Caenorhabditis elegans: one gene and its partner. The protein of the gene in region 1 interacts with the protein of each later gene in a pairwise test. Each region holds a gene or a part of one and is shown in the gene's direction. Other genes may lie near its edges.

Region 1 (8,505 bases):
TATGTGGGCGAGGCCTGAAACTTCGACAACTTCTACATATCCCTCAACCAAAATAATAAGTTTTTGCAGAATGTCCGAAATCGCAGAAGTTGTGCCAAAAATCATTGAAGCCATCTTTTCCAGCGTCCAAGAGCCTTTCAAAACTGTAAGACCCTCTCGTGCTGAAAGTATTTTTTTATTATTTTTGAAAATCTTCAGTTCAACATAACCATAAAACCTCTGGAAAATTCGAGAAGTTTCTGGTCAGAGTGCTATCAAATTCTAGTGACTCCAAACTCGGAAGCACACGCGGACAAGGTGGTCTCCCCGATTTTTGTGAAGGTATTGTGAGCTGTATAACTCTGCGAGCAAGAGAGATAGCAAAAAATTTTCAACTAACAAAATATTTTATGGAAAATTTTCTAAATTTTTTAAGTTGACAAGGTTTTGAAATCTCAAATGCTAGGCGAAAGGTTTTACTCCAAAAACTCAAGTTCTAGATCCCACGAATCTCGGCTATCAACGCTGCCTGTGACCCAGATAATGCAGATGAGAATATGGAAATTCTGCGAACTCTCACTGCGGTAATTTTGTATTTTGTTTTTGTTTTGACGCTATCAATTTTCAGCAAGAAGTGACGTTTTACTCTGACTTCTCGGGAATTCAGTTCTCCGGTTTCCCAATTCCCCGTTCCTATTACGGCGAGAATTTGGGAAACGAGAAAATGGCAGGTCTGGCGTGTGAGGATTATTCTGGAAAAGTGTATTCGATTGATTTTGTTCCCGGGTTTGATGAGTCTCAAGTTCTTCAACTTTTGGAGGCTCTTGCTCATTTTCATGCGAAAATTATTGAGATAAGTGATGAGATTCCATGGAAGAATTATGAAAATGTGCTTTATGATGCGGCCTATATCAGGATGTTGGTGAGTTTTGAGCGGTAGGGAGGCAGGCACGAGATATTCAAATAGGCCTGAAAATGTGCCTGTCTGCCAGTGAAGCCCTAGGTATAGTAAGAAATAAAAAAAAAAGAGTATATTGCAATCGATTGCAATCTGGGCACATCTTTTCAAATTTCGAATTTAAAATTGGGCACATCTCTTTGATGGCCGCGAAAATTGGTGGCCGAATATTTTTGGAACTTATTGGAAATTGACTTTTCACAACAACCCGTAAATATGGTGTATGGTGTTTTGCTTACCTGAAAACCAGAGCGGCTCTTTCTCACGCTTCAGAATCAAAATTCCAGCACAACGACACCCTTGATTTTGAAAAGTTATGCCCGGCGGAGCTCTCCGGAAGAATTCAAGAAGTTAAGCATGCTTTTGATGAAGATGGAGTTAGAAATTCCGAAAAGAAAAACGAAAAACTTGGAATGCCATTGGTGATATGTCATAATGATTTGAACGCGTCAAATGTTCTATGGAATAATGAAACTGGAAAGGTAGAGTTGTCCAAGAGGACTACGTGTCATAGAATATAAAATTACTCCTAATAATAAAATTGAATAATTTCAGATCCAGGCATTTATCGATTTCCAGCACGTGTCAAAGGGTCCCGTCTCCTTTGATATTATTCGTATTTTGTGCCTTGGATTGTCAGTGGAAAATCGAAGAGCAAATACTCAAAGGTATCTTTTTCTAAGTCTAAACATTTTCAATAACCGAAAGAAGTAAAAATTGAAATGGCCCGCTTTTTGGCCGAGATTTGAAAATCGGGTTCGGAGATATAAAACACATTTCAAAACAAAGAGTCAGTTTCCATTTTCCAGATACCTGAACCACTACTATACGACCTTCAAATCTCATTTTTCCACGGCTCCCTTCACTTTCTCCCAACTCGAAGAATCCTATCGAACTCACTTCAATTTTGTGAATGCCACGTCACTATTCAGTCTGTCGTATTACTACAAAATGTATAAGGATGAGAGTTTGGATTTGAAAAGTGGAGCTGACGAAAGGGAACACAAAGCTCAGGAGATTTTGAGACGGACTATCGGAATTTTGGATGATATGTAATAGAAGAATATTTTTTAAAGATTTTTATATTATACATTAAAACAAATAAACTACTACTAATATTTGGAATTTTTTAAATTTTGATGATGAACAAAGTTGCTTAAAACATTATTTCAAATATGACAACACATTTTAAATTCTTTACGAAACAAAAATAATCCTAGTAAATCTTCGGTAATACATTAAAAACATCAAAGGTTTCGTAAATCAATGTTAAACAAATTGCGAAATATCGTCCGACTTGCAGTCAAACACTAGAGTATACATATACATAATACCCTTCCGTAACCCGGTTTTTAGCCTCAAGAGATTACTCATCAGATCGACACATGTTTTCTTTTTTCACTTCAACATGCTGCGTCTCTTGTCAATTTGATCTGAGTAATCTATGGGAGATCAGCAAGAACAATTTGCTATTTGCTAGAAATTGATAACACTTTTTGAAATATTTGAAAGGTAGTTTCTATGCTAGATTTTTCTATGTTAATCTGAATTTTAACATTTTTCAATTGATTTTATGCAGTACCTGAAAGTGGTCAAAATTTTGGAGCCATCGAACGACGCTTCAATATTCCGCCATGCTACAAAACTCAAGATTCCTTACAAGCGTCTTTGGGCGGAGCTTGAGCACGGGTGTCATTGGAGCTTCAAACTTCTTGGCTTCCAATTCCAAATGAATCATTCTTTCAACACATCACCTCCTTCTCAATAATTCCTTATCACTACTCTTTTTCCAACTGCTTACACGTTTTTATCGGTTATTTCTCTATTCCCCTTTCTCTCTCAGTTACTCCGGGTGTCTGTTCTCCACAGTTTTTGCAACAACTTGCGTGGTTTGACCATTGATTTTTTTTGCCTCTTGTTACTTTATTCTTGATTTAAGACAGGAACCGGGTTTATGGAAAATGCCCAACGACTTGCCGTTGCTGCCTCCGAAGAATCAGCACAAACACTTGGATAAAACTATGATCTCACTGCCGTCGGATTTCAGGTAAGGAATAAAAGTTGAGGATGTTATGTTAATCCGTACATTCGAATTGGAATGTATCTGCAAATTCGTTCTTGAAGAACATTAGTAGGTTAGCTTCAAGCGGGATTATGACATGTCGACGTTTTAGGCCCGAGAAAGAAGCGGAGTTCTTGCACTCTCCCCTCCCCCACACTCTCTAACCAACCCATTTTTACAGTGTAATAACTTTCATCAAGATTTAGCCAATAGCTGATTGATTGTGCTGATTGTGCTTTTTTTAATTGATATAACATTTAGAAATGAGGAACATTTAGAAACATGAACAGTTTATTCAAAAATATTAGGCTTACAACACTCTACACTTATCTCATTACAACATTCTTTTATTATCATATTGACATCCATAGACTGAAATTCCAAGTTTTAGAAATCAGAAACCTTGGAAACAAAACTTACCATTTTGCTAGGTAATTTAGCTGACACAGCTGGAACCGCCAACAATTCAGTCATGAAAATAATCAGTGATAGAAACAATAATGCAAAACTAGCATACATGTCAACTATGAATATTAAGTTTAAAATTGTTATGTAGTACCTAATCACACGTGGACTAGCAACAATTGATAAAACATTGTTATATATTATAGGTACCAAGCGTTAAATCTTACACTATGGGCTATTGTCGTAAAAAATAAAATAAAATAATACAAATCACGTTACCTGAAATTTTTTAAATTCTCAATTTTTTCGCAATTCGCCATTTTAATTGTTTAAAAAGATATGAGAGGAGGAGAGTTAAGACACTCAGCTTCTCTGTACTCTCCCGTGCCTCCATACGTCTAAAACTTACAATTTTCATACGAATTAGTTTCTTACAATTAGTAGATTCGGAGACGAATTAGTTACATTCGTATTAGTTTTACTCATTGTGTTTTAGGTTTTAAACAATCTATCATAGTCAATTTTTATATTACAGGCATTTGGCTCATGTCGGTCCAATGGGATCATCGGAAATTGAAAATCTTCGGACGAGCGATAATGTGATTGATACGGTTAATGAAAGGTTTGTGATCTACAAGCATTACTTGAATTCAATGTGGATGAATAAAGAATTCAGCAGCTACTACATAAGACCCTCCTCGTCGAATAGTACACTCCGATCGCAGAGAAAAGAAAAAGATGTAGGGAACTATTTAATTACTTTTCTCCAAAAAAGTTCAACTTTTCAGAGAGTTGGACTAGATGATGCTTTCCCATCAGCTTCAAAAAGTGAAGAAGAGGTTGAAGTTGTCAGAGGTTACGAGAATCAACCAACATCCCACCAATACATAAATATTGCTCCACCACGTCCGAGCAAGAAAAATTATAAGGCTCCAGCTCCCCCTACTCCTCCTCCACAGTGAGTATTTGTATGACATTTTCTAACAACACAGTTTTTGAATTAGTTTTTTACCTCAATTCCAAGAAGTACTTCCTTTAGAATTAAGTTTCTTACTGGCGCTTTCAAATTTGACAACTGAATCAAAAGTTGGTTGAGAATTAAACTTTCAGGAACAGCAAGCCGAATTTGATCTTCAACGCCCAAGACGACGAGGAGGAAACATCAGAAATCTCAGAGCAACCTGTAGTTTTTCGGTATTTCTTGATTGGACCCTGAAGTTTAAAAATTTTTCAATTTTCAGGTCAATCTCCCACACTTCGAATATCTCAACACACATAGCTCCACCTCCAAAAATCCAAACCGCCGACCGAATCGTTGCACCGAAGCCTAACTCTCTGGTGATCGAAAGACCGGGTGATCTTGGTGGTGCTTTTAGTTTCGGTCTCGATGATTGCATTCCAATTGTTAAAAGTACACCACCTCTCAATACACTTTCTCCGTTGCATCGGCCTTTGGCAATCCCGAAGAATCAGGAGGAGACACCGATATTGAGTCCGGCGAGTCCGCCGGATGACTCGAATTATATGTCAACTATTCGGAGCACATCCGTTCAAGGGAGAAAGATCTTGGATGAGCTTGACGATTGGTTGGATGACCTGGATGATCTCGATAGGGATCAATTATCCACAATCAGTACTGACGAATCGGGTTATCCGACGCTTGCACTAGAAAAAGATCGGGCTTTTATGAAGCATTTGGTGGAGAAGTATGAGTTGGGGGTAGCTCCAGAGACAATTAGACTTCGGAAGAAAAAAGGACCGGCTCCAAAAGCTCCAAGCCTCCCTCCAGACCTCTCCTCTCCAACATTCCAAGCTCCAGGATTTATTCCTGCGTTCTCCGCTCGGCCTGTGAGTATGCCTCCCAACCGACCACCTCCCTCATATGAAGCTCCAAGCTTTGATGCTCCCGAAGCTCCTGGTACAGTATTAATCAATGGAAGAGCCTTGACAAAGCAAAATGCGCTAGACCTCCGCTCAAGTGACGAAAGTGGAGTACCTCCTGCAATTGCCAGGTTCTTATATGATAAGAGGATCAAGTCAGCAACAATGCCAATGTCCATCGGAAGAATGACGTCTTCATCTGGGAACACGGATGTTTCCACTACCTCGTCAAGATCAAATGCAGATACTGTGTCAAGTATTCTGTCGACGGTTGGGGAGGATGATGATGTGGAAGTTCTGAAAAGGGATCGGGAAGTTGAAGAAGAGTTTGTACCGCCCGTGCCAAAGCCGAGGAGCAGAAAGACGGTAAGCTTTCTTGTGTGATCCACAAGATCAGTTATGTAGGTGCAACATTAAGAGAGGAATTACGGAATTAAAGTATTACTTTCAACTTTTGAATCATATTTCTGACCATTTGATGAGTCACCATAAAATAGATATTTGTGAATCTGAATGAGAGGGGGGGGGGGCAAAAGTTTCAAGAACGGGTGCTCCTGAACCTAAACGATATTTGCTCCAATTACTTGGATCTAGTCGTACTCACGATTTTCACAGTTATTCTCACATTTTCGAAAGCAAATCAGTTCCGCTACCCTTTGACCTGATTCTATAATTTATTCTCTCCCCTCTAGAACAAATATAAATCTATTTAAATGAAACCGATACAAACATCAAAAAGTCAACAATCACCAATGTTCTTCTTCATTTGTTTTTCTTCGCAGGTCTCAACGGAACCGTTAAAAGAAGAAGAAGAAGAAAATGTCGAAGAGGAGATAAAGGGCGAAAACGTGATTGGGGAGGAGTTTCAAGTGGTGGGAGATACAAAAATAAATGATGAACAAGAAGATCGGGTGGAAGCGACAAAAGACAAGGTAACTAGTAGTGATAAAAGATCAATCGCCAAGATAAGCTTATTGGAATTTGAAATAGTTTGCTAATTACCCCTAGTTTCCAATTTTTCCGAGAAAGTACTTTTGTTGATTGGAACTGCCATTCATAGGATCACAAGGTGATCGAAAACAAAAAGAAGCAGCTGACTACTTGCGAATTTCCAGTAGAAATAGATTTAGAGAAGCAAGAAATTCGAGAAATTCTTTAGACAAAATTTTTCTTTGGAATGGTGGGTCATGGGTCCGCACGTACCCAAGTTTCTCTCTGAGACTGAGCAAAATGTATAAGTGGGCTCTCAATACAATTTTCTGTCATAGGTACGTGCAGACATTTTTAAGCAAACGATCGATCAAACCAAGTAATGAGCAAAAATAGTGCTAATAGGTTAAGATTTCCTACGAGGCAGGTTGCATACCCTAGCAGATATTTCTAAATAGATTTTGTACCAAATATCATTAACTGGGGAGCCTTCAGTAGTTGTCCTATTTCCTGGCACTTGTTAATTTTCAAAAAATTATTCAAATTCCCACTATTTTCAGATTAATGACGCTTTCATCATGCTTCCACCACCTTCAGCAGCCGCAATGATCCCATCAGATTCAGAATCCGAAGACGACGATAATTTCATTATTACTCGATTTTAAATTATTTGTTTTACTTAAATTCTTAACTAAACTCTAGTCAATTGTCTCTCTACATTCCAGTGCCAAACCACCATTCCATTAAAAATAAATTTCTCAAATAAAACCGATTCGATTTGCGAAAAAAGCAATATATTTTATTTTCATTTCTTCACAGCACAAAAAATAACAATTTGGAAGGTATGTACAGAATCCGTTTCGATCAAACGCGTCAATGGGAGGTTTCAAGCAACTTTTTCAGATGCTCCTCGGCGGCTTCCAGATCATCACGGAGATAACGGAGTTTTGCAGGGGTCACAAATTCCTCGTTGTATACGTTTTTCTGGAAAAGTAAAAGGGTTTAAAGGGTGGAATGGGATAATCTTTTGTGGCCTACACTATCTTTTTTAAGTTGTTAACTGATCTACAATCTCGAAAATTCCCCGTAAAACTGCAATTTTTGAGTAATATGTTCAGTTACAGCCTTTTGGAAACTCAAAATCCTAGTGCTTTGTCATTTGAATTTTGCATTTTGTCCAGCGTACAGAATAGTTTTTGCTAAGTAGTCGAGAAATTTTATAATTTGACGTTTCAGAGAAATTGAAAACTATTTTTTTCCGAAAACGGGCTTAACTATTGCAATTTTTTAAATTTGAGGTTGTGGAATAAAGTACTGTTTCCATCGCAACATAATTTGCGCGTAAAACATGGTGCATCGGGTCCGTGAATTGAAAAAGGAAAATTTTGTTTTTTCAAAAAATGTCGATGCACCATGTTCAATTCATAATTCAACTATGTATTTAAGGGTGCTAATGGACAATCTAATTTCAAATTTTCTTCAAAATGATTCACAGAAATTAAAGAAAACCTTACCAAAGCCATTTCACTGCGAATTACTTGATACCGAGCCAATTCCAAGTCACACTCGAACTTTGTCTGATCATCGCAATTTGGCGCGTCGTGGATTCTAATGAGATCATACTCTTGACGGCCGATTTTGGCAAGACGGGCGGCTTCGTCGCACATTTTGTAATTATTAGCTGAAATATGAAATTGGAATAAAATCTAAAATTTTGTTATGCAAATCGGTTAATAGAAGGAGAGATGAGAGCGGTGGAGAGAATACGATGAATAGATAATTTGACGTTTCAGAGAAATTGAAAAGTGACCCGGACTAGATCGGAGATAAAATCTTCGAGTTGCGTACGGATGGACCTGTCTCCGGAGACGGGGGAAAACTGACAAAGGTATTCGAAAAAAGGTAGGAAGGACCCCCAAAAGAGGCGGGGTTTAGATACACTTTAAACTGTAAAACAACAATATAAGATAGTGAGAGAAAGAGAGGCTGAGAGGAAGACGGTAGAGACGCAGAGAACCACGAGGTGATCGAGATAAACAGATGGAGAGAAGATCAATCAACGTACTTTGTGTGCTTTTTGATTTGATGTCTCGGTTTTTTTCTGTGTGGGAATCATGTTGATTAGAGATTATTTACAGAGATATGTAAAATTGATAATTTTGAACAAAACGTGGAAAAAATGAAATTTTTGAATTAGAATTATGAATTTCTGAATCTGTGTTTGATTCTTCTAGAATTTCAGTTTTAAGTTTATGCAAAAGTTTAATACACAATTAGATTAATTATAATA
Region 2 (5,882 bases), on another chromosome or scaffold:
ATATATGATAAGACGTTTGTAAAGTTTAGTTTCAGATCAATAATAAAAATTGTTATATTTTGCTCATGAATTATTTATTTGCTTATAAAAAAATCTTTTAGATAAATTCATCTATAACCTCTCAAATTCTTCTTTCTCTTCTTTTTCCTCCTTCTCTGGTAGTTGTGACAATTTCCTGCCAACCGTTGATAAGCTATTGGTTTTCACCAAGTAATAAATAAAGAACATATGACCACAAGAGACGAACCCGTAAGAAATAAATATACAAATTGCAAAAGTTGCCGGTAATGGGAGAATAATGACTAGAACATCTTTTAAAACGGAGAACGTTTGGCACAACGCGTTGTGCATTCCGAATACTGTATTTCGTTCTCGTTCTGGGATGGTGACTTGCATTATGTGAGTGATAGCCAGATCCAGGCACCACAATCCTGAAAATTGATTATTAAAATTAATTTTTAAAAAATTCCTGATTTTTTTGACATTTCCTAATATGTATTAGTTAAAACTTGAAATTTGACCGGCTTTTCAAGCGGCTGGAAACAATTTTTTTTTTGTAATTACTGTCAAATTTTGAGTACAAAATGTAATTATGTTGCGTTTTCAACTTGAGATTTTTAATTTTTTTAAACCAAAACTTGCCGTCCATCGACTTTAAAATACCTATATGAAGTTAAAACACAAGATAATTACATTGTATACTTAAATTTTGACCATGGTTTCAAAAAAAGATAGTTTCCAGCCGCTTGACAAGTCGGTCAAATTTTCAATTTTAACTAATCTTAGCCCATTTTTTGAGCCGTCATAACTTTTTTTTGAGAATTTTTCAAGGAGTTTCATTATAAAATTAGGAGTTTTCAGACAATTTTGAGCCTGATAAGGTAATAAAAAATTCGACTACACCACCTTAAAAAAAACCCAAACTCACCATATCTTGCGGATGCAATCGCAATCAAGAACACAAAGATGCTGGCCAAACTGACACCATCAGACGAAAAGTGCTTCCAATCAACATGTGGGTCCAAGTTTGTAGCGTTATTCCCGTCGAAAGAGTGAACCATATCGTGCCACCAAGTTCCCATAGTGAAGTTTCCAAAGTATCCACCAAGGTTCATAGGAGATCCCGGGAGGAACACGGATATAACTGCTAGAACCGCAAAAAACTGCTGAACAACCAATCCCAGTAGTCCTGAAGTGGCGACACTGTATCGCTTTTCGAAGAATGCGTAGGAAAACGCTCCAAGGATCGCAGTCACGGATCCATAGGATCTGAATGCTCCGATAACAAATTCCGGAAGCCCTACACTTGAGCCATATCCTACAGCTAATCCATCAAATCCCATCACTGTCATGAATAGAAGACTCATTCCAAATGCAGCTGGGAATGAGATCTGGCACCAGTACGTGTAAACCACAGATTCTTTGAGCCTTGAATTGGCGAATGGGTCTAGCGCTTCATCTTTCTTGTCTTTCTTCACTTGAAGCAGAGGATTGGAGATGTAGATTGCTCTAAGGAAAATGGTTTTTGAAGCCATTGAAACAAGAGAGGCTATACCAAATATTCCAACTGTTTCACGAAGACCAACCCAGGTCACCAGAGCCTTAACTTAGTTTGTTTTTACTTTGGAATTAAAAAGCGAACACAGAACTAACACCAGTTACTAACGGTGCAATAACATTGGTACATTGATCCAATGTCAACAGAGTTGCGTTCATATTCGACAGTGTACCATCATTTCCGAGTACCATAACCCAATCTCTGCCTGTGATGAACTTTTCCGCGTTCAGGAAAAGCCGGTTCACCGCGCATATGCACATTGCTAGAACCAGGCAGACTATGTACCACGGTGACGTGGCATCGATAGACAGACAAGCTTAAAATATTTTAGCTTCGAGTACCTACATCAGTGTCAAATTAGAACTCACTGATAATAAGAGCAGCTGCAGCACAAATACTCAAATTGTTCAACGGTACGACGGTCATGATTGCTGAAATTGAAAACTTGATTTTCTCTTACAAATACTCACGAAATAAGTATTTGATTGTAGTTTTTGTTAGGTCAATGTGATACTTGAACAAATCATTTTTGCAGTAATCGAAATTTGTAAAAATGAATCGTTCACGTGGAGTCAGAACGTCCCATTTTGCTGTGATCTTCGAAAAATGCGAGAGAAGAGACGCAGAGATCTCATCTGATTTTGCATGGTTAAGAGCGTGCTGACGTCACAATTTTTCTGGTAAAATATTCCCATTTGTCGTAGATCGAACCGCAATGAGGCAGGCTGACACCACGGGATCGTTTAGTTGTCTACCGTACCCCGTTTCCTCGAGAGCCCGTCGAAATGCTTTCCTAAATATCCGCTGAGAAACATTTGCAAGACTCCCTCGAAAAGCTGCTCAATGGAAACCACTCTCATACCACCCATCAGGTCCATACAAAGAGAGACACAGAATGACCAAGCCCTGTCTTCCTGTAAATAGTATCGAAAAATTGAATGTTCATGTTTTTCCACATTGAACTAAAAAACAATTTTGAAGTTTATAAAAGTATGCGAATTTCTTTTTTTTTCTTCCTAGTTTTAAATTCCCTCTACACTCACCAAGCATGTCGAAATATAGGCACAATACAAAAATATGCTCGTTTTCGAAAGGGTGCCACTGTTTCGTCGATTATTCGGTTGTTGAAAAGTCATTGTCACAGGAATCAAACTGGAAATCTCTGCACTTCCATCGCCCGCGACACACTTACTGATTTCCATGTTAGCGATAACCTCTATATATTCTGTGATAACGGGCAGGAAGTTCAACAAAGTGTTGGTGCACATACATCATGAATTTTTTCTCTTGTCAATCAAAGATTATTTGAATAGGCCACTCGAGTGCACTGCTCACCGTCTCTTTTTTTTTCATCTTTGCTCGTCTTACCGAACACTTTTTCACGCGATAAATTGTTTGCCGCGCGGCATGAGAAGGCGGAAGATGGTTGGGATAGTTTCAAGCGAGATGGTATATAAGCCCACAATCAAATGGAAATACTCATCCGATACTTTCGGCTCTAATCATGCGCTTCACCTCCCTCGCCATTGCCTTCTTCGCCTGCGCCCTAGTGGTGTCTGTAAGTTGTGCAAGATCTAAAAATTTGAGTCTACGAATATTAATTTTCAGGGCAATGTGCTTCGTGAGAAGAGACAATGCGGATGTGCTCAACCCCAGCAGAGCCAATGCTCGTGCCAACAGGTTCAACAGACTCAATCGTGCTCGTGCCAATCTGCTCCAGTTCAGCAACAATCCCCATCATGCTCTTGCGCTCAACCACAACAAACCCAGAATGTTCAGGTTACTAGCAAACTTATGCTATAGCTCCAAAGAGAGACTTTCAGGTCCAAACCACTCAATGTGCTCCAGCTTGCCAACAGAGCTGCACCCAACAATGCCAGGCTGCACCATCGGTAGCCCAGTGCCAGCCACAATGCCAACAGCAGTGCCAATCCCAGTGCGCTCCAATGTACAATCCACCAGCCACCACCACACCAGCTCCAGTCGTCCAATGCCAGCCAATGTGCCAACAGCAGTGCCAATCCACCTGTGTTCAGCAACAACAACCAGCTTCCCAATGCCAGCCACAATGCCAGCAACAGTGCAACGTTGCCTGCGATGCTCCAGCCACATCCACTCAGGCACCACAAGTAGTCCACATCCAACTCGAGATCCAACAGGCTCAAGCTCAATGCCAACCACAGTGCCAGCAACAGTGTCAATCATCCTGCACCCAACAACAACAGCCAGCTAACCAGTGCAATTCGGCTTGTAACAGCCAGTGCTCCAACATTTGCCAACAAACTGCTCAAGCCACTCAACAGGTCTACAACCAGAACTCTAACACCAACACCCAAATGTACAATCCATACAACAACAACAACCAAGGTTCCGGATCCGCCAACTGCGCCCCAGCCTGCCAGCCAGCCTGTGACAACTCCTGCACTTCTCAGACTCCAGCTCCAATGTACAACCCATACGATGCCAGCACATCCGCCCCAGCATCTTCCCAAGCTGTGATCCAAATCGTTCTCCAATCCTCCGTCGCCCAGTCCTCCCAGTGTACTCCACAATGCGAGCAGTCGTGCCAGCAGCAATGCGTTCAGCAACAACAACCAGCCGCTCAGTGCCAGTCTGCCTGCCAGGACTCGTGCTCCAGCTCCTGCCAAGCCGCTCAGCCAGCGACTACGGCTTGCCAGCAGAGCCCACAAAGCCCACAAAACTCGTGCTCCTGCCAAGCTAACTACTCTCCATGCGGAAATGGACAGTGCTGTAGAAGAAAGTGAACGGACTCTGAACAATGACTTCAAGTTTTTGTATATAATGAAACCAATTAGTTTCACAAGAACTTAATAAACAACTTTGATATTTTAATTGATTTACATTATTTGGTTTTTTATTGTCTAGAAAATGAACAATGACTACAAAACTTATAGCTGGCTCACAGTTTATTGACTAGATTAGCACTAAAAAATAACATGGCCGCTTTTCAAGGAAAGGTTTTTATTTTATTTTATTTTTTAATGTCAGACTTCAAAACGAGACAAGTGCCATTTAAAAGTGTTCCATAAGGATATATTACTACAAAATTTTAAGCGGCAAAGCTCCACTCTCAACCCCTCTAGCATCGATCTGAAACTGTTACAGTGCACTTCTTCACTACTTTGGAGGCCTGTAGAATTGCTCCAAATTTTTTTTGTTGCAAACTTTCAATGTTTTTCAAAACGGTTAAAAGTAGGTAAGCATTCTGGAAAATTTTTGAAAATTTTTAAATTTTTTCAAAAAATCTGAAAAATTTTTGAACCGAGTGGAGTGGATTGAGGAAATTTTTAGATTTTTTTTTCAAAAATTTTTTAAAATTTTTAAAAATTTCCCAGAATGTAAACTTATTTCTAGCCGTTCTAAAAAACATTGAAAATTTGCACAAAAAAAATCAGGACCAATTCTACTGGCCTGAAACAATTTAAGATCGAAATTTTTGGGGTTGAGAGTAGAGCTTTGCCGCTTAAAATTTTGCAGTGACATAGCCTCATGAAACACTTTCAAATGACACATGATGGTTGCATATTACGAAAAAATGTTTCCTATCGATATGTCTCGGTCACCATAGAACCAAGTCTAATGTGAACACGAGACCATAAGAGACATAGAGAGTGAGACGCATTGCATCTTGTGAGTGAAGAGACCTCTGTGCCTCTTTCTCTCTCATCTATCGATTTGCATTTTGACTTGGCTTTATTTTCGGGGTTTTGTGGATTTTTAGAACCTGAGTTTTGTAGCTTATTTGAAATATCATATTTAATATTTAAAGGTGGAGTAGCGCCAGTGGGGGTTTTGTTTAAATGCACTTATAATGATCCAAAACAACCGAATATCATAATAATAATAAAACACTCCAAAAAATTTTAGATTTTTCATAATTTCTGATCAAAGTTTTGGCAAATCGCCAAAATTTTGAAAAATACGAGCTTTTGAGGAAATCCAAGGCAATGTCGCATGTTCACACCCCTACAATGTTTTAATACAAATAATTAAAACAAAATTAAAGTATAAAAAATGTAGGAAAAAATAAGTTTTTTGGTCGAGTTCCAAAATTACGAGTAGCAAAAACTGTGTAATTGCCACTTTTTGACAGTAAATAAAAAATTTTCAAAAATTTTTTGGAAAGTTTTATCATGATATTTGGTCATTTTGGGACTATAGGAGTGGTTTTTAACAATTTCCCCACTGAGGCTACTCCACCTTTAAATTTGAGGAATCAACCCCCACTGCTCTAATATGGAACATCGTGACGACGACTTTGAATTTGGACATCAATTTGGCGGGGACGAGGAGGAGGAGGAAG

What was found. The genes of interacting proteins can lie anywhere in the genome.
Region 2: the proteins of F09F7.5 (region 1) and pqn-54 interact in a two-hybrid assay, tested with the Caenorhabditis elegans proteins (one large-scale study listed by BioGRID).

The regions. Positions count from the first base shown.
Region 1 is NC_003281.10:5,544,234-5,552,738, forward strand, and holds F09F7.5 (CRIB domain-containing protein), read left to right. Parts: upstream 1-2,876; 5' UTR 2,877-2,898; coding exon 2,899-2,984; intron 2,985-3,939; coding exon 3,940-4,026; intron 4,027-4,080; coding exon 4,081-4,144; intron 4,145-4,192; coding exon 4,193-4,362; intron 4,363-4,514; coding exon 4,515-4,598; intron 4,599-4,645; coding exon 4,646-5,651; intron 5,652-6,067; coding exon 6,068-6,217; intron 6,218-6,775; coding exon 6,776-6,880; 3' UTR 6,881-6,982; downstream 6,983-8,505. Other genes in the region: putative kinase-like protein D1044.1, read left to right, coding at 71-145, 199-321, 480-563, 608-901, 1,225-1,419, 1,493-1,605, 1,747-1,993; F09F7.6 (Ferritin), read right to left, coding at 7,089-7,199, 7,730-7,882.
Region 2 is NC_003283.11:1,461,952-1,467,833, forward strand, and holds pqn-54 (Prion-like-(Q/N-rich)-domain-bearing protein), read left to right. Parts: upstream 1-3,038; 5' UTR 3,039-3,062; coding exon 3,063-3,116; intron 3,117-3,166; coding exon 3,167-3,337; intron 3,338-3,381; coding exon 3,382-4,323; 3' UTR 4,324-4,409; downstream 4,410-5,882. Other genes in the region: fpn-1.2 (Solute carrier family 40 member), read right to left, coding at 112-431, 929-1,601, 1,654-1,874, 1,927-1,989, 2,319-2,472, 2,602-2,694; gid-8 (CTLH domain-containing protein), read left to right, coding at 5,816-5,882.